Mus musculus: one gene and its partners. The protein of the gene in region 2 interacts with the protein of the main gene of each other region in a biochemical or structural test. Links are inferred from orthologs where the notes say so. Each region holds a gene or a part of one and is shown on either strand. Other genes may lie near its edges. The genes, in order: Fbxw11, Cdc34, Rbx1, Cdkn1b, Fbxo7, Pparg and Btrc.

Region 1 (3,500 bases), on a different chromosome or scaffold from region 2:
AGAATTGAAACAGGTCATGAGATGACAGAGCGGGCAGCTTCTGGAAGGGAAGGGAAGCAGGGCCTTAAGAACAAACGGCTCCTCTCAGGCCTGAGCTCTTCCTTCCCTTCCTTCCTCTTCTTCAGAGCTGCTCTTTCAGAACAGCACACACTGAACCAATCCTCCTCCATCGGGCAGCCTTTTTCACTCTGTCATGGCTTGTTAAGCAAATTCTTTTCAATGCTTTAAAGTTAGCACACTACCTGGGCACCCTGCAGCTTACCCACGCCCACTGCAGAACACCTGCTCATTCCCAAGGCCTGCCTAGGAATTAAGCTGCTGCAAATGTGTGCAGGTTTGGGGTGGACTAAGTTTTCGACTCCTCTGAGCAAATACTAAGTAATATAAGCACTGGATCATATGATAAGAGTGTTTACTAAGAAAGCGCCAAACTGCCTTCCAAAGCAGCTGGCCCACTTTCCATTTCCACAAGCATGGGATGCAGGCTCTGCTGGACTCCTCCCCTTCTTCCCGGGCCCTAGTAGTCACCACACTAATGGAATTCGATGCTTCTCCCAGATGCTTCCCTTTCTTTGAAGGCTGACAACATGGCCATCTTTGTAAATGCTGCTTTGCTGGTTAGACACGCTCTTTAGAGCTCTATCTACTAAGGTCTCTGCCTGTTTTTAAAATGTGTTTTATTTCCTTATTGTTGGGTTTTTATAGTTTCTACACACTTTAACTAGGACTCCCTCATCAGATGTCTTTTACATGTATATCCTGTCAATCTGAAGCCTGGATTTTCTCTCAGAGCAGAAAACTGACACACTAATGAAGACTACCCCATCAATTCTTTCTTCACAGACCATAGTCTGGTATTACATCTGCAATGTCATCCCTAAACCCAAGGTCATTTTACCATACGAGGCGGCAATCCAGCTTCCAGGTTTTCACTCACTCAACTGATCTGAACTTAACATTCCAGCAAAACCTTGCACACGTGTATTGCTAGAGGTTTCATTTACAATTCTGAGGAAGTCCCAAGCAGCATGCACATCCTTGAGAACTAAATAGATTACCACACTATGATGTACCCAATAATATGGAATGCTACTTCACAACAAGAAGTAATGAACTACTGCTAAACAAAGCAGGAGAGTGAGGCTAAATGCATCTGAACTGAGTATAACAAGTCAGTTCAAAAATCTGTTACATGTTATACACTGATAGGAAGGGCTAGATTTTATACACACACACACACACACACACACACTCTCTCTCTCTCCCTCTCTAAATACAGTGGTGGGAAGGCCACTGGGTTCCTGGGTATGAGGAGAGCCTGAAGGAACAAGACAAGTGAATGGGGGGGGGGGGGGGGAAGAGATCATAAACAGAGAGGATGAGTATGAATGTGCTCAGAGACACGTGAGATCAGACAAGGGCGACAGTGCTGGTTCTGGTTTCTTCTGAACTATGAGAACTGCTGATGCTGAGAACAGATAAAAACCTATCAGCAGTAGTAGAGACTGCCACACAACAGCACCTTACCCCTAAGCACCACGTGTATGTATTATACTACAATAACACAGATCAGTAACTTGCCTTGATAGAGTTGTCCCGGAGGCCACTGATAATTTTGTCATCATCATATTGCAAACAGTAGACACCCTTACTATTTTCAGAGCGGCACTGGATCCTCTGCAAGTTGTGTCGTCCACACCGCCAGTTGGATTCTATGGTCTGGAGAAAGGAGGCAAGAGGTGGGGTTTTGTGAGCCAAATGTTCTGTAAGGTTTAACAATCTGGTATTGCTTCCCACCAGAGACCCCCAACTTTTCTCTTTTCCCAATAAAACACTAGACAACAATGTTTCTTCTTAAACCCTCCCTGCCTACCTGGCAGGCATTATGGGATTTCCAGTGAGCTCTGGGTTAGATTTGAAACAGCCTAGACAGAATTCAGTACGTTTAAAGAACATCCCTTGCCCCCAAAATACAAACAGTAACTCACTGAGTCACTTCCTAATGCCAATTAAAACACCTGGCAAAAGACTGCCATATTACTAAGCACTAACTGAAGCGTTGCCTGATCACTGAAAAGACAGGACATTGTGCTAGTGCATCAGTTCTAAGCTCCTGCCAGACTGAAATCACTGTAAATAAGAATTAAAAAAATAAAAAGGGGAAGGAAGGAAGGAAGGAAGGAAGGAAGGAAGGAAGGAAGGAAGGAAAGAAGGAAAGAAGGAAAGAAGGAAAGAAGGAAAGAAGGAAAGAAGGAAAGAAGGCAAGAAGGCAGGCAGGCAGACAGACTGGTGGTGGTGCATGTCTTTACTCGCAGCAGAGGCAGGAGGATCTGAGTTGGAGTTCAGGCTGATCTACTGAGGGAGTTCCAGGACAGCCAGAACAATAGAGAAAACACCTCCTCCCCACCCCACCCCCGCATCTCCCACCCCCTATGTGTGTGTGTGTTTGTGTGTGTGTGTGTGTGTGTTGGGGGGTGTCCACTTCTCTAACATCATGTGTTGTTTAATGGGCTGTTAGCATATTCCCAGTATCAGGAAGTATGAGAAAGATCAACGAGAAGCATACTGCATTCCAAGGAGGCATAAAGCCAATTATGAGGGCAAATACTTGGAATCTAGAAACTGAGACACAAGATGTCAAGTTCAAAGCCTGCCTAAGATGCATATCAAGATTCTTCCTACACAGCTGCATGAGCACACATTCCCCCCACCACCACCACCCCCCTTTCCTCACTTTTAATGGTTAAGCTTAACTTTTTCAATTTTGGACTTAAAATGCAAAAACAATAATATAGATTCAAGAGGAACTGTATTTTGAATTTTGATCCTTTCCCTGGCTAGCCAATTGGATGCTGTATGACAGTAGCAAGCCGTGACCAGCCACTACAGCACAAGAGGAACACACCTGGAATCTACAATGTGTTTCTCAAGTAGGTCGCTCAGCAGGTTAAGGACATTTATACACATTTCAACCTACAACTTAACATGAATTTATCGGATGTAATCCCACAGTACACTGAGGAACATCTAGACTCTGAACTAAATCTGCTTGGTTAAAGATTAAGCCAATAATCTTGGTAGTGTTTCTCATTGTTTTCCTTTATAAATAAGCAAAGAAAGAATTTAACCTGCTGCAAACTGGATTAGCTAGAAGTTACACCCAGTTCTGATCAGCTACGAATATATTCATCAGTACAAAGGATAGTCTTAGCTCTTAGGTAGAGAACACAGAACACAAACATACAGTAACAATCCAGGGCACTCTCTGTGTCAAAATAAACAAACTCTGGCTACAGGATCTGAAAGGCAGCAAGGGCACCCTGGCCTGAGACCATGGCCCGGTTCAATGAGGAAGTAGGGTGTGCCCACCAGAAGACCCAGCCTCAGGGACTATCCAAGATTAAAAGCCATCAGCCTCTAAGACTAGCTGATCTGGATTCTTAGACTTTGAAACCAGTAGACAGCAGGTACAGCTGTCCACACTCAACTTTTGAGTCCAG
Region 2 (4,198 bases):
CCCAGGTGCAGGCTCGCCTGGGAGTAGGGAGAAGTATGTTCCACCTGAAGGGAGGGGCACCCTGTCCGTTTATACATCAAGGGCTTCCTAAGTGCAGGCTGTGGGAGTGGTCATCTCAGACACACAGGAAAACCTGAGCTACTTGCTATGTGCTGACAACTAGGTGACAGTGTAAGATGGGCAGTGTGACATGCACAACAGGGGCAGATACTTCTGGAAGTCCTTGGAAAAGAGCGTGACCAGAAAGACTTCTAGCCCAAGAGTCTAGGGCTCCCAGGGGGAGGACAGCCAAGGTAGTGCCACACATGAAGTGGCATTGGACCCTGGGCTCTTCCCTGGTCATATCAACCAGCCCCACCTTTGACACCGTTTCCCTGTCCCCAAACAGGTCTACCTGCTATCCCCGACATGACAGGATGTCGGAGCACCTGTGGTGGGAGCTGCCCTTTCCCAGCCCCAAGTGTTGATGCAGCTGTAGTCCTCCAGAACGCCCACAGTCAGGGTGAGTGGCCAGTACAGCCTAGGGACAGAACCACCCACCCCTAAAGGTCACGGGTACACCACACACACACCCTGCTGCAAAGCTTAAATATGCTGCCACCACCAATACTAATGACCAAATGTCCAAGAAAGGAGTTATGGGTGTCTGTGCTGAACAACCTCAAGGTCTTTGCGTGTCTGTTCCGGATCCTGTAAACTTTTGGGTTATGCCTCACCACTGCTTTCTGGTCGATTTAAGCAAGACTAGGGTGTGGTCAAAGGTCAGTCTGAAGGGGTTCAGACTCCACCTCCTGGAAGCCACGTCTGCAAACCCCAAGTCGTTGATTCCCTGCGCTTCTACCTGAGCCCATAGAGACCAAATGGGGCCATCTAACGCTTCATGCTGGGAAACAGGGGCGGATCCTGCTCCGCTCCCGCACAAGCCACGCCCAATTCCCCACCCACAACCACGCCCCCTGAACGTCACAAAAAAAGGCCCCCAAAGCCGCAGCTGCCACTCCGCAGCGCGCAGCCCGGCCCTGCCGGCCACCCCGCACACAGGCATCCGCGGAGCTCTTCCGGCCGGAGGCGACGGCGGCCTCCGGAGCTTCGGAAACGCAAGGCGCCTGCGCGGCAGGGCGGGGGACGACGACTACACTTCCCGGTGTGCCCCGCGGGCGGGCGCGCAGACACATTCCGGACCCGGTGGAGGCGTCGCACAGGCGCATTCTAGACCCGGCAGTGGCGCGCAGGTGCATTTCCGGCCCGGCAGCAGCGGCGCGCAGCCGCACTCTAGGCCCGGGTGTGGCACGCAAGCGCTTTCGGGGCCCGAAGGAGGCACGCAGGCGCATTCGGGGTCGGGAGCCGGTGCGCAGGCGCATTCGAGGCCCGGCGGCTGCGGCGCGCAGGCGCGTTAGGCGCGGGCCGGGCCGGGCCGAAGCGAGCGCCGGGCGGGCAGCGGCGCCAGAGCGAGTGGAGCCTTCGGGGTCCCCGGGTGGCGGCGGCGGCGGCGGTGCAGAGGAGGAAGGCGGCGGCTCTCCCCCTGCCGGCGCGCGACCCGGTCCGTCTCGCGAGCTCGCGCCGGTCCCGCGGCCCGGCCCGGCCCCGGGCCCCTCCGTCGCCGCCGCCGCCACCGCCATGGCCCGGCCGCTGGTGCCAAGCTCGCAGAAGGCGCTGCTGCTGGAACTGAAGGGGCTGCAGGAGGAGCCGGTGGAGGGCTTCCGGGTGACGCTGGTGGACGAGGGTGACCTGTACAACTGGGAGGTGGCCATCTTCGGGCCCCCCAACACCTACTATGAGGGCGGCTACTTCAAGGTGAGCAGAGCCTCAGTTTCCTCTTTGTGCCTGCCTCTCTCCCAGGCTCCTCGTGCAAAGCGGCTCCTCCCTTTTTTGTTGGGCACGTGCTGACCTTACCCCGGGGACTGGTCTCCCTAAGCTGTCCTCCAACAGGCTACAGGATCAGGGACTGCTAATGTATGCCGCATGCCCAGGCAACTCCCCACCACGAGACGCAGGGGCCTCTAGAGCCTGCTGCTGGTCAGCGTGTTCCCAGGTTGTCCTACACTGGACTAAACTTGTACCTGGGAAAGGATCTTTCCCTGTTGTCCCCACCCTTCCATAATGCTTCTGGTAAAGGGTCTCTCCGGGGACAGTTGTTTTCCTTCTTGTCCCGTCCCCCTCTCAACCCCCCCCCTCCGGTTAGTTCCCCCTACCCCAAGACACAGAAGCCTCTGGAGCCCCCTGCTGGCAAGCATTTTCCCAGGTTGTTCCTCACCCTACCAGCATGTGGTAAAACCTGGAAAGGTTCTTAGGTTGTCCCAAGACATAAAGGACCACGGGCAGCTGCTAGCTGGTATCCCAAGGCCCTGCCCCCTACGCTGGAACACAGAACCAGGGCAGCCGCTGGCCGATGTGTCCCCAGAGAAGGGACGTGTAGCCTGGACAGCCACCTGCTCCAGTTCCAGTAGAGGCCCTGATAGGGCCTTGGCAGCCTTGCCTGCTTGGACAACAGCCACCTTTAGCCCTAGCCAGGCTTTATGTAATGCATTCCAAGGGGGCAGTGGGGGGTCCACCCTGAATCTTGGAGCCACACCCTGGGTTCCTTCTTTGGGCCCTGGACCCTAGAGCTCTGTGTTTGCCCCACCCTGACAGCCTTTCTCAGGTTCCACTGAACAGGTGGCTTCTTAGGGGCCTGATTTTTCCTTCTAGATAGTGTCGTCTGCCCTCTGGTGGCTTCACGCTCAATGCACCAGATGTTCTTGTGGTTGGGAGCAGGGAACACTGGGAAGCCTCCAACACTGGAAATGTGTGGCCAGCTATAGGTACCCCCATCAGCACAGTTAGATCATCCTGCTTACTGGGGGCTAGAATAACTAGCAGAATCACAGAATCTCATGCTAGGGCCAAAAGGGACAAGATGAGGACCGGGTGGATGCACAAATCCCAGCCAATCTAGGGTCCCTAGTGTAGGGCCATGGTAGATATTTGTTTGTGTGTCTTCTTCCTTGCCTCCCACCTGGATGTGGTCTGAATTAAGAAATATCTGGATGCTCTTAGCACCTTGTCTCCTGTATTTGCTGGGAGGGGCAGTGGGAACTGCCAGGAGGACAAGTTCTGTTCAGAGCAGGGTCACCTGACCTGTTCCTCATCTGTAAAGGGATTGTGGGTAGAGTCTCCTAGACTCACATAATTCTTGAGATAGCTTAGGATGCTCGGCAAGATGTCAATCAAGTCTGTCAGCGTGGGAGCCTCCTGTATGGTGTGGGTGGCTGAGACATGGGGAGACTCTGTAAGGGGGCAACTGTGAGGAGCTTCGTCTGGACAGCCCAGCCTGTTTCACTTTGGGGCTGTCCAGGAAGAGGTTGGGAGCACCCTTCCTGTTCCTGAGCCTCAGTTTGCTCATCCGTATAAAGCATCCGGAGCCACAGACGTGAGGGGTGTTGCAGCAATCCCACTTTCCCCTGCTCTCCTGAGACATCAGGGCTGACAGGCCACACTGGATGTGTGTGTCAGCAGATCCTCTAGCTTGAATTCCTGGCCAGCTCTGAGGTCACAGGCCAGTCTCCCTAAGGGCTCTACTTGTCCAGGGAACACTAGAAGCTGCCTTTGGGGAGCCCCAAGACTAGGGTAAACCTCAGGCCTTCTCTACCTGTCCAGAGTCTGGGGGGCAGTTGGCAGGGTGAACTTTTAGCCACAAGCAACTGCTGTGGCCAGGCAGATGGTTCCAGCTTGTCTGGTGACTATTCTTGGCCTGGGCCCCTGAGCTTGGATAGTGTTAGTTTTAGGCCTGAGGCTGTCCAGGAGATCTGCTGACTCATTCCTCTAGCTAGCCCACACCAAGTGATACTTACTGCCTGGCCTTTCCTAACCTGCATGTCAGGTCACAGAGGTGCTTTGTGTGTCCCAGTGTACAGAGACTGGGGTTGGCTTCAGGACCTGAACACCAGGGGCAGCCACTGCTTTTTGTCCCCGTTGGGCATAACCCCTAATTCCAGTGCTCAAGGGGCTGCCATTGAGCCACCCCATTTTCTACCATCTGTAGGCTCGCCTCAAGTTCCCCATCGACTACCCGTATTCCCCACCAGCCTTCCGGTTCCTCACCAAGATGTGGCACCCAAACATCTATGAGGTAAGACACTAAATACCTGCCTCAGGCACACTCCACCACACACACCTCCTGCCTCCCTTGCACGTGCCCGCCCCTCGTCTAACCCTCGTC
Region 3 (4,092 bases), on a different chromosome or scaffold from region 2:
TCTGGAAGGGCAGCCAATGTTCTTAACTCCTGAACCATCTCTCCAATCTGTGATTGTAATCTTGTTCAACAAAAACTAGCTTAGGTAAGAGTACTGTAGTTCAAATCTTAGCCCTGATGGGCCTGTAATTTGTAACAATACTCCTGCCACTGCCTTTCAAATGCTGGGATTCCAGGCATATACCACTATATCTACCTTCAAAGGTCATTTTCTTCCACTATTTTTGCCTTTATGGCTGTCTAAGAAGGAAATAAAAGGCAACTCTATCTACACCCCATTTTAAATGGGATCTTGCCTGATTTACAATGAATAATTCATTCTGAGAGCAAGGTACGCCTCCAAGACATTGTTTTAAGAAACAACTTAACCGGTGGTGGTGCACGCCTCTAATCCCAGCGCTTGGGAAGCAGAGGCAGGTGGATTTCTGAGTCCAAGGCCAGCCTGGTCTACAAAGTGAGTTCCAGGACAGCCAGGGCTACACAGAGAAACCCTGTCTGGGGGGAAAAAAAAGAAAGAAAGAAAAAAAAAAAACCCACAAAAAAAAAAAAAAAACCCCACAAAAAAAAAAAAAAAAAAAAAAAAAAAGAAAAGAAAAGAAACAATTTAATTCAGGAGGCAGAGGCAGGTGGATCTCTAGTTCAAGGCCAGCCTGGTCTACTACAAAGTGAGTTCTAGTAGAGCTAGGGCTACACAAAAAACTCTGTCTCCACAAACAACCACAAAACAATCTACTTCAAACACACCAATGGATGAGATACACAAGTGCCTAAGGGTTCTGAGCCTGCTTTGTATTCACTGGTAAAGAAGACAATTGGGCACACCAGGATGACCACCATTTCTGTAACCTTCTCAACTTCTTCCCATCTGCCCCGAGTTACTTACAAAGATCCATAATGTGGTTCCTGCAGATGGCACAGTTATCAACCACAATGTCCCAGGCCCAGAGGGCCACTGCATTCCACTGCAAGGAGAAGAGGGGAAACAATGCATTTTCCTTGTAATCTAACAGCTCATTAGGACTTCAGCTTGCAGCTTCAGTTACCAACGCCCCAGCCACAGGGCCTACCAAAGAAAGGATGTTTTTGGATTATACTATTTGGACTATATCAGAGGACAACAGCAGACCACCTGTACACTTCCCCATTCCTTGAAAGATGAAGTATATGAACATGGGTATCTTCAATTTTTTATATATAATGTAAAATAATTTAGCTAGCCAAACCAACGTGAGAATATTAGTACTATTTTCTGTACAGCTTTCCCTGACAGCTGTGGAAGAACTCAAAATCTGCATAAGCACGGGCTCTCCACAAAGTTTTGGACTCAGAGGCAAGGAAGTGAACAGACTGAACTAAGATAATAAATGGACCACTAAGTGGATAATCACAGGATAAGCTGGATAGCAAGTTACCTACCCAGTTTCAGTACACAGAACGAGGTCATCACTTAAACCTTAAAAGAGCACTGCAAGCAAAGTAGAATCCACTGCGATTTTCTTTTCCTCTTACCAAGTAAACTGATGTTCTCAACGTTCATATATCCAAACAATTACTTTGTTAGCTCCAGTAAGTCGACCTAAGACTTCTTATGTTAGACAAGGCACCCTTTTCAAGGACTACTTTGGTTTGACTTTCCAAATTCAAGCATAAGAGTTTAGTAAATTCTACATTACATTTTTATTTTTCATAATGGCTGCAGGCTGTAACTGAGCAGCAGTGGCCACAATGAGATGACACAAAAAGGGGGTGGGGTGAGGGATATTCTCAGCGACACGTTCCAAAAATAATCCATAAAAAGAAAACACCTTGCCCTCTTCAAGATCTTCATTTTTAACAGATCTGTGTAATCTTAGGTAGGAATCAACACTTTTAAAGGACTAGCAAACTATGAAGGGGAACGGCATACAAAAGGACGTTTCATATTTTTGTTTTTCTGTTCTCAGGTCATTAGCAATTAGTACTCCACCTTCTTAAATGGCACAAGTTCTGGGCTTGCTTTTAAAACAAAGCCCACCAGGCTTTTAAATTATCATTTTGTGTTAGAAGTGTACAGGGACATCAGAGAACCACTGGAGTGGCAGATGCTATGTGACAACTAGTAGCCATCTCGTTAGAACCAAGCTTTACACTTGACTGTGGGTTTAGAGGCCAATGGAGGCCGCCATACAATCGAGGGCCCACGCCAGGTCCCTCGGAGTCAATAGATTCTAGGATCCAGGAAGGGGCGGAGCAAGAACACCGGCAGAGCCCCTCTGCGCTGTCATCTCACGTTCCCGGGGTTCTCCGCACGGCCCCATCCTCCACCCGCCGCAGTCTCTTCACGAGTCTGCATCCCACCCACCCCACCCTGTCCTTCCCCCACCTCTCAGTCACTTCAGTGACAGCTCAAGCGCTTGGCTCCCGCATCGAAGTCAACCTCGCGTATTTCAGTAAGCAGCTCTGCGATTGGCCCCACAGCTTCCCCAGCAAGACTAATAGGGCCCCAGACACTGGGCCACCAGCATGCCGATCAACCCTAGGCCCGCCCCCCGGCTTCCGTTCTTGGTGCCCGGTCCCAGGAACGCCCTGAAATGAAGCCCTTTCCCCCGCGCCTAGCTCTTCCTCGGGCCTGCCAGCCATATCCGCGCCTCCCTAGCTTCCTTGAGGAAGGCGCTGGCGAGCCCAACCTTTTTAACTTCAAAGCGCTTCTTGCCCGCGCCGCTGTTGGTGCCGCTGGGGGTATCCACATCCATCGCCGCCGCCATTTTGGAAACACACAGTCTGTCGTGTGACCACTGCGCCTGCGCACCGGCTCACTTTCCGCCGCCTGCCCCGCACACCAGGCGCCTCCTCCCGCACCCCTCCCCTCATTGGCGCGAGCGTGGAGAAGGGGCGGAGCCTGCGGTCACGCCCCTTAAAGGCGCAGGCGGAGGTTTCCCGCCCCCCTCCTCCCCATCTCTCTCAGCTGGGGAGGAGGCTGGAGTGATTGAGGCGGGGCCGGGCGGGGCCGGGCGGGGCCGAGAGAAGGGAGCCAACCGGTGGGAACGTCCGTGAGGTCTCGATGCTTCTCGCATTCTGGGAAGCCCTGTGGTCTGACTCCTTCATTTGGGGCGGCGGCTGCTTCCTTCTTCTGCCCCAGGACTTAAGCCCTGGTCCAGATCCACAGAGCTGCCCCCGAGTCCGTGGTTGCAAAGGGCATGGGCTGGTCTTTGGAAACCCGAAACTCCAAACCGGCCTTCTGCTGACCGTGGTCGGCTTCGGAGCCAGGCGGTGTCTCTCTGGAGGCCTGTGGCCCGGCTTACCAAGGCCTGGTCACCGTCTGCGTTATCAATTTCAGATTGGGAAATTATTTGATAGGGAGAGAAGAGGCCCAGGAGCAAACAGAGCAGGCATTCTGCAACTTTGCCTTTATCTTCTCACAGGAAAGGTGATGGGGATGCCATAGTAAATCCCATAACCAGCCAGTTCTAAATGGTCCTCCTTTCTCCTCATTTCCTATCGAGTTTTGCTACTGTGCTACGATTAAATTAGTACATTTGTAGTGGCTGAACTTGAGTTCTGGTGAGGCATTCTGATTTTCTTACCGGTCATTACCATCGAGCTACAGAACACATACGTTTTGTAAGCTTCCATGATTAGTCCAGCCCTCCGCTGTTTTGTCTCCTAAATTTGCGGAGTTATGACTAGAATACATCACCCTTGAATTTCCTGTGTGTTCTAGTTCCCTCAACAGTACAACAAAAAGGGTTTTACCGGAAATGTGCCCCTCCCCCCCCCCAGAAAGGGTTTTTCTCTGTGTAGCCCTGGCTGTCCTGGAACTCAGGACTGGACCTAGGCCGGCTTCGAACTCAGAAATCTGCCTGCTTCTGCTTCCCAAGTGCTGGGATTAAAGGCATGCGCCACCACTGCCTGTCCTGAAATGTTCTGTTAAAAGAAATACTTGCTGGTGTGTAATGCGGTGTGTCATTGATGCACTTGCTAAGCAGGGCAATACATCCTGAATACCACCACAGTTTTAACTTGCACAGAGACTTGTGAGAGCCCTGCAAGGTGTGTGTGTGTCTGCCCAAGTTCTACCTCCCACACTAAATCTGTCATTGGTCTATGTGTCTAC
Region 4 (4,033 bases), on a different chromosome or scaffold from region 2:
CTTAAAATCTCACTGAACTCTGAGATACGACAGGCCTGGCTATTCTGTTTTAACTTCTGTCACTGTGCTCAGCAGTGATAGAGAAATGTGAAGTTGCCCAAGGAGCTGAAAAAAACCCACCCAACATTACTAGATGTTGGTAATACCGTGGTGGTGGTATTATAAATCACTTGCAAATCTAGTCTTAGATCCTTAGGAAAGTGTTTTCGCCCTTTAACAACCTGCAGCTCTCTAAAAGTATTTGCTTGTATTTGAATATTGTACTGAGTAGGTTGGAAGCAACAGGCTGGTGGGAGAAAAAAGAGAAGGAAGGCACTGTTGTAGTTGGCGTCTGGACTCAGGTGGAGGGAACGGCTTCGCCCGGGAAAGAACATAAGGGTATAAAGGCGAGTTCCCACACGCTATAGCAATGGCTTTCACTGTGCTTAGGAACCAAGAAAATCAGAACTGGCTTTTTCTGATTTCTGTCTGGGACGGCTCTAAAGAGAGGCTTGGGAGAGCACTGGGGGTTTTCAATCTCGAGATCCTACGGTGGAAGCGCTTGGATTCAGAAACACCCTGATAAGAGCGGTCAGTCCTGGCTTCTTTTTGAAACCACCTCCTGGCCTGTCCTACATAGCAGAGACTTCTGGGGTCAGGCTAAGCGGCCGATTCCGCACCCCAGCTAAGGCACCCTGCCGGGTGGGGGTGGGTGGGCTGCCCCAGGCCCTGAGCCAAGGTTTCCTGAATCTCTCGCATACCCTCCTCCATTCCCACCTCGGCGAATGCAGGTGGGCTGAACTAGCCACCGAAGCTCCTAATAAGCCGCCAGCGACCTAGGAGCCCACTGGTCCAGGCCCTAGGTTTCGCGGGCAAAGACCTGGAGGTCGCAGTCGGGAGCGGTGACGCGCCTGCCAGCGCAGCTCTGCAGCGCCGGGACCTAGATCCCCGGGTCCCTGCCTGGCCGCCGCGCTGGCCCCTCCCCAGCTCTCCGGCCGTTTGGCTAGTTTGTTTGTCTTATTTTTAATTTCTCCGGGGCCAGCCAGAGCAGGTTTGTTGGCAGTCGTACACCTCCGAGTAGTCACGCGACCAGCCAATGTCCTGGCGGCGCTACGGGGAGGCGGCGCGCTCGGGAGCGCGGAGAGGCGGCGGCGCCGCGCCCGGGGCCACCTTAAGAGCGCGCTCGCCAGCCTGGGCGGAGCGGCTCCCGGCGCCGAGACCAATGGAGCTCCTCCTCTGTTTAAATAGACTTGCAGTGTCAATCATCTTCTTCTTCGTCAGCCTCCCTTCCACCGCCATATTGGGCAACTAAAAAAGGAGGGGGGCTCGTGCTTTTGGGGTGTTTTCCCCCCTCATCCCTTGTCCCGACTCACTCGCGGCTCCGAGACTCGCGCGGCGGCAAGGTTTGGAGAGGGGCTGCGTTCGCGGGACACACGGGCTCGCCCCAGCCTACGCTCCGACTGTTTGCCACCTCCTCCTGCCTCCTCCCCTCCCTTCCCCGCCCTCCAGTACACTTGATCACTGAAGCCTCGAGCTGCGCGGCGGCTGGGGTGTCCCTGCGCCTCTCTTCCCCAGACCTGCGCGCTACTGCGGCTCGGGCGGTCGCTCGCCTGGCTCTGCTCCATTTGACTGTCTGTGTGCAGTCGCAGAACTTCGAAGAGGGTTTTGCGCTCCATCCGTGGCGTTTCGCTTTTGTTCGGTTTTGTTGTTTATTTCATTTTTTTTTTTCCGGAGAGAGGCGAGGCGGTGGTCCACACCCGCCCGAGGAGGAAGATGTCAAACGTGAGAGTGTCTAACGGGAGCCCGAGCCTGGAGCGGATGGACGCCAGACAAGCGGAGCACCCCAAGCCTTCCGCCTGCAGAAATCTCTTCGGCCCGGTCAATCATGAAGAACTAACCCGGGACTTGGAGAAGCACTGCCGGGATATGGAAGAAGCGAGTCAGCGCAAGTGGAATTTCGACTTTCAGAATCATAAGCCCCTGGAGGGCAGATACGAGTGGCAGGAGGTGGAGAGGGGCAGCTTGCCCGAGTTCTACTACAGGCCCCCGCGCCCCCCCAAGAGCGCCTGCAAGGTGCTGGCGCAGGAGAGCCAGGATGTCAGCGGGAGCCGCCAGGCGGTGCCTTTAATTGGGTCTCAGGCAAACTCTGAGGACCGGCATTTGGTGGACCAAATGCCTGACTCGTCAGACAATCCGGCTGGGTTAGCGGAGCAGTGTCCAGGGATGAGGAAGCGACCTGCTGCAGAAGGTAGTGACTCTTTGGAAAACTTAAAATGTCTGTCTGTCTGTCTGTCTCCGTAAGCGCCCCTTTACTAGACCCTGTTCACTTGCTTTCTCCAGCGTGTTCTGCTTTAGCTCTGGGAAATCGAACTTGTTTGAAGCTTAGGTTTGACATACCCCCTATCCGACTGCTTGCCCTGTTTATGATTTTGAAGTCAGAAGCCGGAGATAGTAAGATGTGATAACTTCCGTAGCCGAACGCATCACAGTTCCTCCCCTCTAGCCAGCTGTAGATACGTGACAAAAGTTCGGATGTTTACCAACTGCCTCCTCCTTGGCTGGGGTGGGGGGGTGGGGGTGGGGATGGGGGTGGGGAAGAGACGTGGGGTGTAGAATACTCCTTGTGTTAGTGGGAACAACCTTATTTTGTGTCCTTAGATGCTACCGGGGATGACGGGTCCAGGGGTCGTGGGTGGAGGTAGTGAGTGGGTTGTTCATCCCTTGGGCCTACTTCTGTCAGCCATTGTTGTCGATAATAAAGATGGTTTGTGTGTGTTCTCTTAAAAATTTCCCCTTGCCCCCCTCTTAGATTCTTCTTCGCAAAACAAAAGGGCCAACAGAACAGAAGAAAATGTTTCAGACGGTTCCCCGAACGCTGGCACTGTGGAGCAGACGCCCAAGAAGCCCGGCCTTCGACGCCAGACGTAAACAGCTCCGGTGGGTTAATGAGGAAGAACACAAAACTGACACCCCATCTGGGCTGCGCTCCCCGGGGGGCCTGCAGACCCCAGGACTGCTGGCAGATTAGTTGCCTGCCAGGAGGAATTACTTTCCTTGATCAAAAAAATTAACACTGGGGAAGGCTGGAATCACTTGAGGGGACTATAATGCAGTATTTGCACCCCAAGATATTTACCTTAAAGTGGAATCAGAATGAGGTTCCCAAGCAAGAACTTGCCACCAAGGCCCCAAAGGATAGGGACGGTCGTATCCTTATGAATCCCACTAAAACTTAGGCTGGGAATGACAGTTTTCCTTTCCAGTCTCAGTTCATGAGAACCCATTTCCCAGAGGTTCGTTTTGAGCCAATAGCCTATTTTGAACCATTTGAACTGTAGAAAAATGGCAAATATATACTTACATGTATGTTCTTAAGAGAAAAACTAGGTACCCATAGTGCACGTTTGATTAGGAGTGTGAATAGAGCTGCCGTGGCTCGAGTTCTTTTTATCTTTTGCTTTTGTTTTGGTTTTTGGTTTTTTGAGATAGGGTTTCTCTGTGTAACAAACAGCTCGGGCTATTCTGGGAATTGCTCTGTAGACCACGCTGGCTTCGAACTCACAGAGATCTGTATTGTCTCTGCCTCCTGAGTGCTGAGATTAGAGGTTGTGTGCCATCACCTCTGGGTACTTTTTTATTTTTTTTTAAAGTTGTGCCTTGTATGCTGGTAAATTTTGGAGAGAAAGGAACTTCATACTTAAAAAAAAAATTAGACTGGAAAGTTCAGAAGTACTAATGCTCCCACAGAATTGATTTTAACCCTGAGGTTACAAAGCAGAAGTTAAATGAACAGCTAGAGGAAGCAGCCTTCCCACACGTCAGCACCGTATGCTAATTTGCTGGAACAGGACGGTTTGGATGTTTATAGGGGAAATGGATAGTAGATGTTAGGACCAACTGAGAAGGTCCAACACAAGTGTGGATTTTTCCATGTGTCAAAAATCTCATCACCCCACTTGCCTAATTAGAGTAACCCAGCCCCTAAATTTACATAGATTGACTATTCATATGCTCTAACTACTTATAATAGTTTATAAGCTCCTTATGAAGAAAA
Region 5 (3,500 bases), about 6.3 Mb from region 2:
AGGTGGTACACACCCACAACCCCAGAACTTGAGAGACAGAGACAGAAGAACCACAAGTACAAGGCCAGCTTCAGCTACATAAAGAATTTGAGTTCAGTTTGGGCTATACAGACCCAATTTCAAAAGTATAAAAATAAAACAAAAGATCAGAATGAGATGTAAAATCCTGGTCACCCAAATGGATCTCCTACTGTGAGATCATGAGAACATTCCAGAAACCAGTGGTGGTTGGGAAAGACCTGTGTGACATCATGACTAACATGAAATGCAACCACAGGTTAAGACTTAAAGAAGTAAATAAAAAGAGACATTCACAGACATGCACAAAAGAACACTCTTCTAAGTTTCTACACAGTAAAACTCATTTTATTTCTATTACCACAGCTCTCACAGAACCAAGTGTTCAAAAAATGAGACATCGCAAGAAAGAGCTGAGGCTGGAGAGGTGGCTCAACGGTTAGTTATAGGCACTGGCTGTTCTTACAGAGGAGCCTAGTTCAATTCCGAGCACCCACATGGCAGTTCGCAGCATCTGTAACACCAATCGCAGGGGATCTGACACCTCTTCTGGCTTCCACAGGCACCACATGCATGTGATGATGCACAGACAGATAGGGAAAACACTCAAAACGTAAAATAAAAACAAACGGTCAAAAAGAAAACAAGGGGGCTACCCTGAGAGTGAAGGGTGCTGTTCTAAACCAACATCCTCGCATTTGAAATCTTTCAGGCATATGTCATCAGTGGTATAGGAATTAAGTTGTGAACGACTCGGACAGACACTCAAGTGGCTACAGAATGTTTATAAAGAAACTACTTAATTCATAAGGCAGCAACCATGACTGCTCCGTCCCATTACCATTTATAATGATTAAGTTTCCCAAAGGCACACAGGTAAGCACGGCAAAGCCGCCCTCGCAGAGAGGATGTGTGTACTGCAGTTTGTATACACCACTTGACTTCCACTTCTCAGGCATTGTCACTGCTTTGGTTTCAGTTCCCTGAAGAATGAAAGGAAAGGAAAAATAATGAAGAAAGGCGTTGTGTTGAAAAACCTGAAAGTCAGTTAACACCCCTAACTTACTGTGCAACACAGCCCCCCTTAAGCTACCGACGAGGCTCAGCAGATAAAGTGCTTTGTCACAGAAGCCTGATACTCAAGGTGAGCCACAGAAAGGTGAAGGCAGACAACCAACTCCACAGATCTCTGCTGACTGCCACACATGCTACATGGTATGCACACGCCCCACAGACACACACCTCACACATTTTTATAAAGACGCATAGCCTCAACATAATATGCACATCATTAACACTAAAGGAGGATAATATTTTTCTATCAAAATATTCATTTTAATAGATAAGATGACATCATAGAAATAAGGCTTAATTTTTCTCTTCTAAGGCTCACATTTTCTACCTAGTAAAGACATACCATTACTCAAGACTGCAGGGTGAATAGCACTTCCTTCATACAGCCCTTTTTAGAAAAGTTATTTTCTAACATTTACTCACATTTCTATCACTGCATATTTATTATTCTTTGTCAATTTACACTGTTATTTGTAATATGCCATATTTGTCTGGTCTTTTGTGCTCCTTTGTGAACTCTGAGAAATGTGTGCACAGGCGTTCCCTGATCCTGGGTTACTCTCCATCTTTGTGCTCTATCCATGGCCACAGGGAACATGTACAGGCCAGCAGCGCAGGGGTCAGGCCAGAGTATGCAAGAAGCCCAGCTCTATCCTCAGCTTACAAGTCAGAATCTCGGCTCTAATACGGTCCCATGGATTCCCAGCTCCACTCTAACTCTTCATCCAGAGTCCCTGGCACTCTGGATGTGTAAGTGTCTCTCCTAGAACTTACACATTATACTATAATGGTCTAAATTCTTCTCTACTCTCAGACTAACAGTAACTTAAACAAAGACCTAAGACCAGGAACAGAAACAAGTCACTGAATTAGTAGATGCTTAACAAACCCATGCTGAATGACGATAAGCAACCACAGCACAAGCCTATGAACACGACACATTAATTAGTCAGCATCATTCATACTCAGTCCACACTGCCACACTTTATCTTGATATTATAGTATATAAAACCTTGTGTCTTTTTTTCCCCCCTTTTGGACCAGTTGCCATTATCTCTGGGCAATACTAAATGCTAACAAGGGAAATGATGGAAAAAGAAGGAATGCTGGAAAGGGCACATTTACTGAGTACCTGTGACAACTCCTCACTGTGTCTGACATTTTATATTCAAGAACCAATCACATTTAGTAAAGGAAGATAGACTATCACGATGCCCTTGTGAAGTACCCAGGGAGACATCATGACTTAGTTAGGGCTTTACTGCTATGAACAGACACCATGACCAAGGCAACTCTTATAAGGACAGCCATTTACTTGGGGCTGGCTCAGAGGTTCAGAGATTCAGTCCATTATCATCATCAAGACAGGAACATGGCAGCTACCAGGCAGGCATGGTGCAGGAGGAGCTGAGAGTTCTACATCTTCATCTGAAGGCCACTAAGAGAAGACTGGCTCCCATGTGGTTAGGAGGAAGGTCTCATTGCCCATCCCAACAGTGACACACTTCCTCCAACAAGGTCACACCTCCTGATAGTGCCACTCCTTGGGCCAAGCATATTCAAATCACCACACCTCCTAAGGTATTTGGGTTGCACTCACCTGAGGAATGTAGCCTGACTCGAGCATCAGGAGATGCACCAGCACTATCAAGGCATCACTGATGTTGGAGCAGCCAGCTGACTGGTACAGGGTCTCTAGAGAATGTGGTACCTGCCCATCCTCTGTTTCATTACAGAGCATTGGTTCCAATGGATGGAAACCAGAAACCTCTTCCATACTCATGGCATCCTGAATTGACTCAGCTTCAACATTTTGACTAGGCCCTTCCTAAAAAGGATAATAGATTCATTAATTTTACATAGGACATTTTATAACCTAAACTGAGCAGAGATTAGTGCTCAAAACAAAAGCCAGCATGAGGTTCAGATATAGGAAGCTCTTATAAATAAATGACACTGCAACCTACACCTCTGTCCTGAGTCCCATAACTCCAGGCTAAAAACATGGAGCTCATCGGTAAGTCTCCATACACTTACTAAACAGTACCTAATTGTGCTCATAGCTCCAACCACTACCATGCCCAGATCTCTCTAAAGCTGTACTTCCTGTGCCACTGTACCTCATACCCCCATTATGTGTCTCCTGAGTTCCAGGAACAGCACCTCCTCAGAGTGCCTGCCTCCCCTTCTTGTCTCATATACACCATGTACTCCTGCCAGTTACCCAAAGTTAAGGAGCCAATCACATCTTATGTCCCAGTTGAAAACTCAGGATTTCCTCAAGACAGGCAGTACTGTTTCCCACAATTGTACTTTAAGACTGTGTCCCTGAATGTTCTTAGAGAAAAATTGGTACAGAGTCAAGCAGAAAAACACTACATGCATGCTACGTCTGCCTAATCTAACCC
Region 6 (3,500 bases), on a different chromosome or scaffold from region 2:
CAGGGAAGAGCTCAGTTGTTGCCTTTTGCCCTTCCATTACACAAGGCTTGATCTGTGGCTGGACTACAGGAACAGCACTAGATTAGGGCTTGGTAGGGACAGACCTCACTAACCCGTAACTTTGCTTTTCCTTTTGTAGTCCTGGGAATAAAGAGCCTATTCAAGTGACCCCATGCCTTTGATGCACAATTTCTACAGTGCTAATATATTAATATGCTTAATATTACAGCATTAGTCCATGGGTCAAGTGATATACATATATAGTCTATCAAGCCTTTCTTGTTTAAGAGATTGTATAGCACGATGAAAAACACACTAGAGAAATCAGAAGATGTAGGTCCTAGTACTGGCTCATCATTCACTGTCTTGCTGCGATACCTTGGATAAGTCCTTTCAAAAACAAAACAAAACAAAACAAAACAAACAAAAAAACCCCCAAAAAACCTCTGCAAGATCCACTGAGATGCCTCAAAGACTCATTTTGGGGAAGGGGAAGTGGGATAGAGTAATGCTGCTTTTATTAGCTTTTCTCAGATTTTCAAATGTTATATTACTTGAAGAATGAGTTCTGCCAAAACAACTCCCCACAACTTTATCTTTAAATTCTTAGAGTGAGTTTGTAACAGGAAATAGAATAGGCAAAATTGCAGAAAACTCTAGGATGGTTTTTTTAAATTTAATTTTTACCTTGCATCCTTCACAAGCATGAACTCCATAGTGGAAGCCTGATGCTTTATCCCCACAGACTCGGCACTCAATGGCCATGAGGGAGTTAGAAGGTTCTTCATGAGGCCTGTTGTAGAGCTGGGTCTTTTCAGAATAATAAGGTGGAGATGCAGGTTCTACTTTGATCGCACCTGTGCATGGGAAAATTTGAGAAGATGGTTATCTCATGACAAACAATCTTAAAGAGGAACTGTGGCTTTCCATGGTGGCCTTCATATTTTCATGCCATAACTTTACTGTCTCAGAAGAGGCGCTGGGGAACATGAAGAAACGTTGGTGCTCAGATAGGAAAAGTAAGACTTTGTCATCTCAGGCAAGTCACAACACCCCAGAACCTCACCTGCACAAATAAAGCGGGAAGGGAATTAAAAGCCAGAGAATTAAGTGTGCTTCCCCCCCCCCCCCCCAAACTTCCCGCTGCTTTCCACAGACATTGCACAGGGTTTGGATAAGTGACGCTTACTTGGCTAGGCAATGGGCTGCATCTGGCATCCATTCTGCTATTATGGGTTTTATTGAAAAGGTGAATTTTAGAAATAGTTTTAAACTTTTCTTGCAAAAGAAATACAGAAGGAACATGGGCAAGAAAATGCCATGGTGAGCCTAGCCCGAGGTGCCAGGTTATCAACAGGGTTGAGTCTGAGGTGGTTTGTAAAGTGATCTTTGATAGAGAGTGGGAGCAACCTGTGTGAGGCAAGTACTGCGTTTGCCCGTGGCTCAGACCTATTGAATTTCCGTATTAGGCTCTAACCCTGAGCCACACAGATAAATACCCACGTATACTTTCTATCTAAAGAAAACAACTAGAAATTACAGGAAGTTCTTACTTATTATCAAGTAATGCTTGCCAGTGACACAGGGGTGACTCTGGAAAACCAGCACATCAGCCCACAAGATAAAAATCAAGGAAACAGCACCACAGAAATGATACTTTATCTCAAAAAGTTTGGTTCTGGTTTTCTTGAGGCTGATGTTTTATGTTAATTTACTTAATGTCATGATGATCTGTCAGTCAGCCACAATGTTCAAATGTAAGTTTATGCCCCAAACTAGGGTTTGAGGTAAATTTTACAAATTACAGCTTAGAAAGAAAGCCTAACTGTAATAGTAACTTAGCTATGATGAGTCATGTAAGTTGACCTACAGCTATGACTTACTGAAAAGAAGCTGGGAGAATTCAAAGTTTACATGATGGACTGTCAGCCTAAGACAAAACTGGCAATGTAGTCATCCTAGAAAATGTTCCAAAGATGGAAACAAGAAAGGAAAGAAAGGAGAAGATAGACGTGTGTGTGTGTGTGTGTGTGTGTGTGTGTGTGTGTGTGTGTGTGTGTAAGTTTGGGAACATTGGAGGGAGAAGAAGAAAGGGGGTTAGGTTGGGAACATTGTTGTGCTGTCTTATCTTGGCCTCCCACAGACATCTAGAACTTCAAGCGTAGTGGATAAACTGAGTAAAGATGCCTTCTTGTCAGAGTGCTAATCTCAGGAGCATTTATTCAATGGTTATTAAAAAACTGTCTAACTCCAATCCTAGTAGTTTGAAAAGTAAACATACTTTGGTATTCTTGGAGCTTCAGGTCATATTTGTAATCAGCAACCATTGGGTCAGCTCTTGTGAATGGAATGTCTTCATAGTGTGGAGCAGAAATGCTGGAGAAATCAACTGTGGTAAAGGGCTTGATGTCAAAGGAATGCGAGTGGTCTTCCATCACGGAGAGGTCCACAGAGCTGATTCCGAAGTTGGTGGGCCAGAATGGCATCTCTGTGTCAACCATGGTAATTTCTGAAGTGGAAAAAAAAGAACAGGATATGAGTCAAGTTCTGGAGGGCAGAGCAGTCCTCATAGACATAGAGAGGAGCTGAATGAGTTTAATAAAGCATTTCACTCAGACTTCCCTATGGGGGTGAGTGCACTACTGCCTTTCTAGTACCACCCAGGTAAGAAGGAAGTCAGCCTTTACCTGAGTTTCTGTATTGAGAGAACTTAAGATCTGCTTCATTAGCAAATTTCAACTATATGATACAGTATTTCTAACTATAATCATCTTGCTGTCTATCAGGACTCCAAAGTGTTATGGAAACCCTGGCCAGTCTTCCCTACGCCTAGGCCTTGGCAACTAGCAAGAGTATGTGGCATCTGGTTTCCTGAGTCTAGTTTGTTTTCCTTAGTACAATGTTCCTTTGGGTCATCTATATTGCTACAAGAAACAGAAGTTTTTCCTTTTTAAAGGCCATAGAGTATTTCACTGTATGTATGTGTGTGTGTGTGCATACATGTTCATGTGTGTGCATTCTGCATATGTGTGTATATATACTATGGGTTTTTTTTTTTACTTGTTTGAGTATGCATGCCTGTGTATACATGTGCATTCTGCATGTGTGTGTCTGTTCATACCACAGAGCTTTTTGTTTACTTTTACTTGTTTATATGTCTTAGATTCTCATGTTGATTTCATATCTTGGCTATAGTGAATAGTGTCATAATAAACATGGGAGCATAGAAGCTTTGACATAGTAATTTTTAGTTCCCTGGCCATATTTCTAGTGGTAGGGCTGCTAATCACATGGAAATTCCACTTTTGATTTTTTGAGAATCTCCACTTGCTTTCTATAATGGCTGCACAGTGTATAGTATACTTCACTAGAGATGTTTCTGTTGCTCCATATCCTCTCTTCTCTTCATGGACTAGCTATTCTAACAGACGTGGAATAGTATATTTTTGCTGTAGTTTTGATTTGCTTTTCTCTGGGGATTAGTGATATTGAACATTTTT
Region 7 (3,500 bases), on a different chromosome or scaffold from region 2:
CACTATCACCCTGAACAGAAAGACAATAAAAGAAATGGGAGGGAGGTACACCTGGTATTACCTGGAGACACTAAGCACATTCACAGAGCACACAGCATCTGTATTTACCACTTCATGGAACTATAACAAGTCATATCAAAGTGTATCAATTTGATCAAAGACAAGGGAACTTGGGTAAAAAGCTGGATGGCTTGCAAAGGGTGGGAGGAAGTTCAGAGGCTGTGGAGAGGCAAGGATACACCTCAGCTCTTTCAAAAGGCTAAAAAGTGCACTAGGAGGTAACTTAGGAACAGAAAAATTGCCTAACATGTAATGTACAAAGCCCTCAGCTTTATTCCAGGCACCACAAAAATTATTTTTTTAAAAAGAGTCCAAAAAACTATCTTTTCAATGATAGTTCTTTGTTACTGTCTTAATATCCAACCTAAAAGAGCCCGCTGTTTAGGACCAACCCTAAACAAGAGTCTGCCTTTTCACTGCACTTACAGGGGCCCTGCACACATCAGCAGGGCACTTCTGTCTCCTGCCTTCCTGGCAGGTTAATGCTTATGCTGAAACTTATTATCATTCACAGGACGAACGGAAACAAAGTTTCTTAACAGGGCATGAAATCTTTGTAGCCAAGAATTGAGTTTTTCAAATTGAGACTTAAAGCCTGAATTATCTGGAGGAGAATTTCTTTGCTTTCCTAAGAGTTAGAGAATCTTCCCAGACACCCTGAAATTTCCCCAAGTAAACAACTGTGTGCTCCACTTTGAAAGCTGGTCTTGGATTCAGCAAATAATGGTCTCTGAATGCCACACATGATAACTATCAGAGTATGAAGTCAGTAAGCAAAGGCAGTTTCTATTTTCCCACATAGAAAGAAGTTAAAAAAAAATCTGAAAGGGAAAAAAAGAGAAAGAAATGACAGTCAGCCCCGGTTTGCAGTCATAGCAAGGACGTGGCTAGTGTGTGAATCCTGAAGCTGGGCTGCAGAGTAAAGGTTTTAAGAGCTTGAGACATCTCTCAAGTGCTTACCAGGACACTCAGGCCAACACTTTAATGAACCCACGAATTTCAACGACATCAAAGTGAGAGAGCCAAGTGTAATTTTATAAAAATGTGAAGGAAAGTTGATTCATATGCATCTGTCTTTCTTTCCTGCCTCAATTTCCCTACCTGCTGGGATCACAGGTGTGGATTACCACGTCACCCAACTAAGTCAAAGTTTGGTTTTTTGCTTATAGTGCTGAGGACTGGACCCAAAGCCAGCCATATGTGTGTGTGTGTGGTGTGTGTGTGGTGTGTTTGTGTATACATACATACACACACACACACACACACACACACACACACACACACAATGAGGGCACCTGCAGCCCTTAGCTATTTTTACACTTGTTTTGAGACAGGGTCATGCTGCAGAGGGAGAGTGGGTCACATATGTACTAGCCTCCTTTCTACTTCTTGGAAAAGCAGGCCATGTACTACCATACCTAGCTTCCCTTTAGTAATCTTAACTATTTGAGGTTGCATATGACACCAGACCAGAAAAGAACAGAAAAAAAAAAGGTTAATTTTGAAGGCAATCACTGGGCATAGACATGTCTATTATCATTTTTTATCAAATATACTTAATAACTTATTTAATGAATTATTCATACCTGACTTTCTTATAGTGACATTCTAGAGACACACTCTGAGGCAAAATTCTAAAAAGAAAAATATCTTCAAGAAGTTTTAATGAAATAGTGCCATTATGCCCAGGGAACACTACTGGGGAAGTCTTTCAGGCCACTGACTACACAGGCCTTAGGGAATTCATAATTAAACAAGCAAATCTAAAGACACAAGTTTTAAGAAGAAACAAATGGTTTATCCTAAATTTCATTTTTCATTCTTTCTGGTAGCTATAGCTTAATTCTACTTGGGCATAAAAATTAAATTTTGATTACAATGATGATGAGACACTGGAGGTGGGGACTACATAGAGGAACTCTGGTGAAGAATAGTGACTCCATCTTCCCCAGAAGAAGAGGAGGAAGCAGGAGTGGGTTCTTTCTACCTGATTGGAAGCTATCTTTTCTTCCTTAAAAATTGTCTCTCAGGCTTTCTGCAAAATTCTAACTTCTGCCCAGAGAGCAGAATTCTTTAATTAGGAGGGTGGTCACTTTTCTTTTTTCTTTTGTAAAACATGTCATCTTATGATTGACTGGTCAGAAGAAAAGCTACGGAGTACACAGACAACATTTGCTTATATTTTTAGCTATAAACTTCACAAGGACTACAGACGATGCGCAGTGACCTCGCTGGCTCCTGACACTTGGCCGTGCCCAGGAGCCAGGCCCGGGGCTGCCACAGGGAGAGAAAGGGAGGCTCACCAGCCTCTGCGCTCTGCCAGGCCTCGCCACAGAGAGTCCGTCCTGACCATCCTCTCGATGAGCTTTTTCCACAGCATGCCGTCCGACGTCACGCGGTACCATTCCTTGCACACGAGCTCAGCAGCACACAGTGACTTGGCGTCCAAGTATGACAGAATGTTCTCAGCGATGTGGTCCAGACCCCGTGCTTCAGTGAGGGGAGGGAGCACAGAAAAAGAACAGAGCGGGTGCTGAGCGATTCTTCACAGAAAGCCCTTTAAAAGAGCAGCACATGCCTGAGATAAAGGCACACCGCTCTCCCCAGCGTGGTCCAGCTTTGCTCAAACAGAGACTTGGGGAAAATGAGTGTCAATAATTTTTCCATAAGGTTACAGAAATGAACAGTATTTTCCATCTTCTGTTAGATAAGGAAGTTAAAGCTAACAACCAGCAAACCCCCCAAGACATTAAAAATAAAAAGGAGTCCAGAAAACAGTTCACATCTATCTATATGGATTTCAACACTAGGGGATGTTCTACAGACGGCATCTCAAACTCAGTGATTCAGACCCCCCGAAATCCTGATATTAGGTCCATTTCTCATTCTGTTCTATTACTGCTGCTGTTCCAAAGCTATTCAACGAAAGAAATATCCTTTAAATGTACTAGGGAGAGAGAGGCAGCAAGTCAGACTGATCTGGGACGTGGCGTGTGGGCATTCAGGAGAGGGATGAGCACAGGGCCCAGGAGCACCCTGAGAGGAGAGACACATGGGGATACTAGGGTTCAAAGGAGTCTGATTGCATGTGCTAAAAACAAAACAAAACAAATTTTACTGCTATAAAACCTAAGTGACAACTGACCTAAAATGGAATAAAAAAATCTTACCAGTAAATGAGGGTAGCGTTTCAAAGGAAAAATATGGCAGGCTGATACCGTACTTCCCAATTAAAGCTCTTTAGCACCCAATAGGCCCCAAAGCCTCGGTGGAGAAGAGCCTGTCAAACAGGATGGCCACTCTAATAACACTTCTGGCATTGCTGTCCTAAGTTCTCAGGTCAGCCAGTCACAACTAGTCATCCCCGAGGCTTTCTCAAGGCTCACAAGGGGAAGGATTCCTCCAGTCTGCTGTCTGCAGGCATGAACGGAAAGGACCGA

What was found.
Region 1: the proteins of Cdc34 (region 2) and Fbxw11 form a complex in vitro, tested with the Homo sapiens proteins (2 studies listed by BioGRID). The link is inferred for Mus musculus from reciprocal best matches to the Homo sapiens genes CDC34 and FBXW11.
Region 3: the proteins of Cdc34 (region 2) and Rbx1 form a complex in vitro, tested with the Homo sapiens proteins (84 studies listed by BioGRID and IntAct, with this or other methods). The link is inferred for Mus musculus from reciprocal best matches to the Homo sapiens genes CDC34 and RBX1.
Region 4: of the proteins of Cdc34 (region 2) and Cdkn1b, one has a biochemical effect on the other in vitro, tested with the Homo sapiens proteins (3 studies listed by BioGRID, with this or other methods). The link is inferred for Mus musculus from reciprocal best matches to the Homo sapiens genes CDC34 and CDKN1B.
Region 5: the proteins of Cdc34 (region 2) and Fbxo7 form a complex in vitro, tested with the Homo sapiens proteins (2 studies listed by BioGRID, with this or other methods). The link is inferred for Mus musculus from reciprocal best matches to the Homo sapiens genes CDC34 and FBXO7.
Region 6: the proteins of Cdc34 (region 2) and Pparg form a complex in vitro, tested with the Homo sapiens proteins (2 studies listed by BioGRID). The link is inferred for Mus musculus from reciprocal best matches to the Homo sapiens genes CDC34 and PPARG.
Region 7: the proteins of Cdc34 (region 2) and Btrc form a complex in vitro, tested with the Homo sapiens proteins (4 studies listed by BioGRID and IntAct, with this or other methods). The link is inferred for Mus musculus from reciprocal best matches to the Homo sapiens genes CDC34 and BTRC.

What each region holds. Positions count from the first base shown.
Region 1 is NC_000077.6:32,729,555-32,733,054, reverse strand, and holds part of Fbxw11 (F-box/WD repeat-containing protein 11), read right to left. Parts: intron 1,720-3,500; coding exon 1,582-1,719; intron 1-1,581.
Region 2 is NC_000076.6:79,680,797-79,684,994, forward strand, and holds the start of Cdc34 (ubiquitin-conjugating enzyme E2 R1), read left to right. Parts: upstream 1-1,398; 5' UTR 1,399-1,617; coding exon 1,618-1,794; intron 1,795-4,021; coding exon 4,022-4,108; intron 4,109-4,198. UniProt on the Homo sapiens protein: E2 ubiquitin-conjugating enzyme that accepts ubiquitin from an E1 ubiquitin-activating protein, and catalyzes its covalent attachment to other proteins by an E3 ubiquitin-protein ligase complex. In vitro catalyzes 'Lys-48'-linked polyubiquitination.
Region 3 is NC_000081.6:81,465,024-81,469,115, reverse strand, and holds the start of Rbx1 (E3 ubiquitin-protein ligase RBX1), read right to left. Parts: upstream 2,801-4,092; 5' UTR 2,744-2,800; coding exon 2,666-2,743; intron 962-2,665; coding exon 883-961; intron 1-882. UniProt on the Homo sapiens protein: E3 ubiquitin ligase component of multiple cullin-RING-based E3 ubiquitin-protein ligase (CRLs) complexes which mediate the ubiquitination and subsequent proteasomal degradation of target proteins, including proteins involved in cell cycle progression, signal transduction, transcription and transcription-coupled nucleotide excision repair.
Region 4 is NC_000072.6:134,919,168-134,923,200, forward strand, and holds the start of Cdkn1b (cyclin-dependent kinase inhibitor 1B), read left to right. Parts: upstream 1-1,233; 5' UTR 1,234-1,752; coding exon 1,753-2,227; intron 2,228-2,788; coding exon 2,789-2,907; 3' UTR 2,908-2,916; intron 2,917-4,033. UniProt on the Homo sapiens protein: Important regulator of cell cycle progression. Inhibits the kinase activity of CDK2 bound to cyclin A, but has little inhibitory activity on CDK2 bound to SPDYA. Involved in G1 arrest. Potent inhibitor of cyclin E- and cyclin A-CDK2 complexes.
Region 5 is NC_000076.6:86,028,429-86,031,928, reverse strand, and holds part of Fbxo7 (F-box only protein 7), read right to left. Parts: intron 2,921-3,500; coding exon 2,693-2,920; intron 1,002-2,692; coding exon 860-1,001; intron 1-859. UniProt on the Homo sapiens protein: Substrate recognition component of a SCF (SKP1-CUL1-F-box protein) E3 ubiquitin-protein ligase complex which mediates the ubiquitination and subsequent proteasomal degradation of target proteins and plays a role in several biological processes such as cell cycle, cell proliferation, or maintenance of chromosome stability.
Region 6 is NC_000072.6:115,438,849-115,442,348, reverse strand, and holds part of Pparg (peroxisome proliferator-activated receptor gamma), read right to left. Parts: intron 2,510-3,500; coding exon of another isoform or gene 2,502-2,509; coding exon 2,282-2,501; intron 858-2,281; coding exon 688-857; intron 1-687. UniProt on the Homo sapiens protein: Nuclear receptor that binds peroxisome proliferators such as hypolipidemic drugs and fatty acids.
Region 7 is NC_000085.6:45,506,734-45,510,233, reverse strand, and holds part of Btrc (F-box/WD repeat-containing protein 1A), read right to left. Parts: intron 2,551-3,500; coding exon 2,364-2,550; intron 1-2,363. UniProt on the Homo sapiens protein: Substrate recognition component of a SCF (SKP1-CUL1-F-box protein) E3 ubiquitin-protein ligase complex which mediates the ubiquitination and subsequent proteasomal degradation of target proteins. Recognizes and binds to phosphorylated target proteins.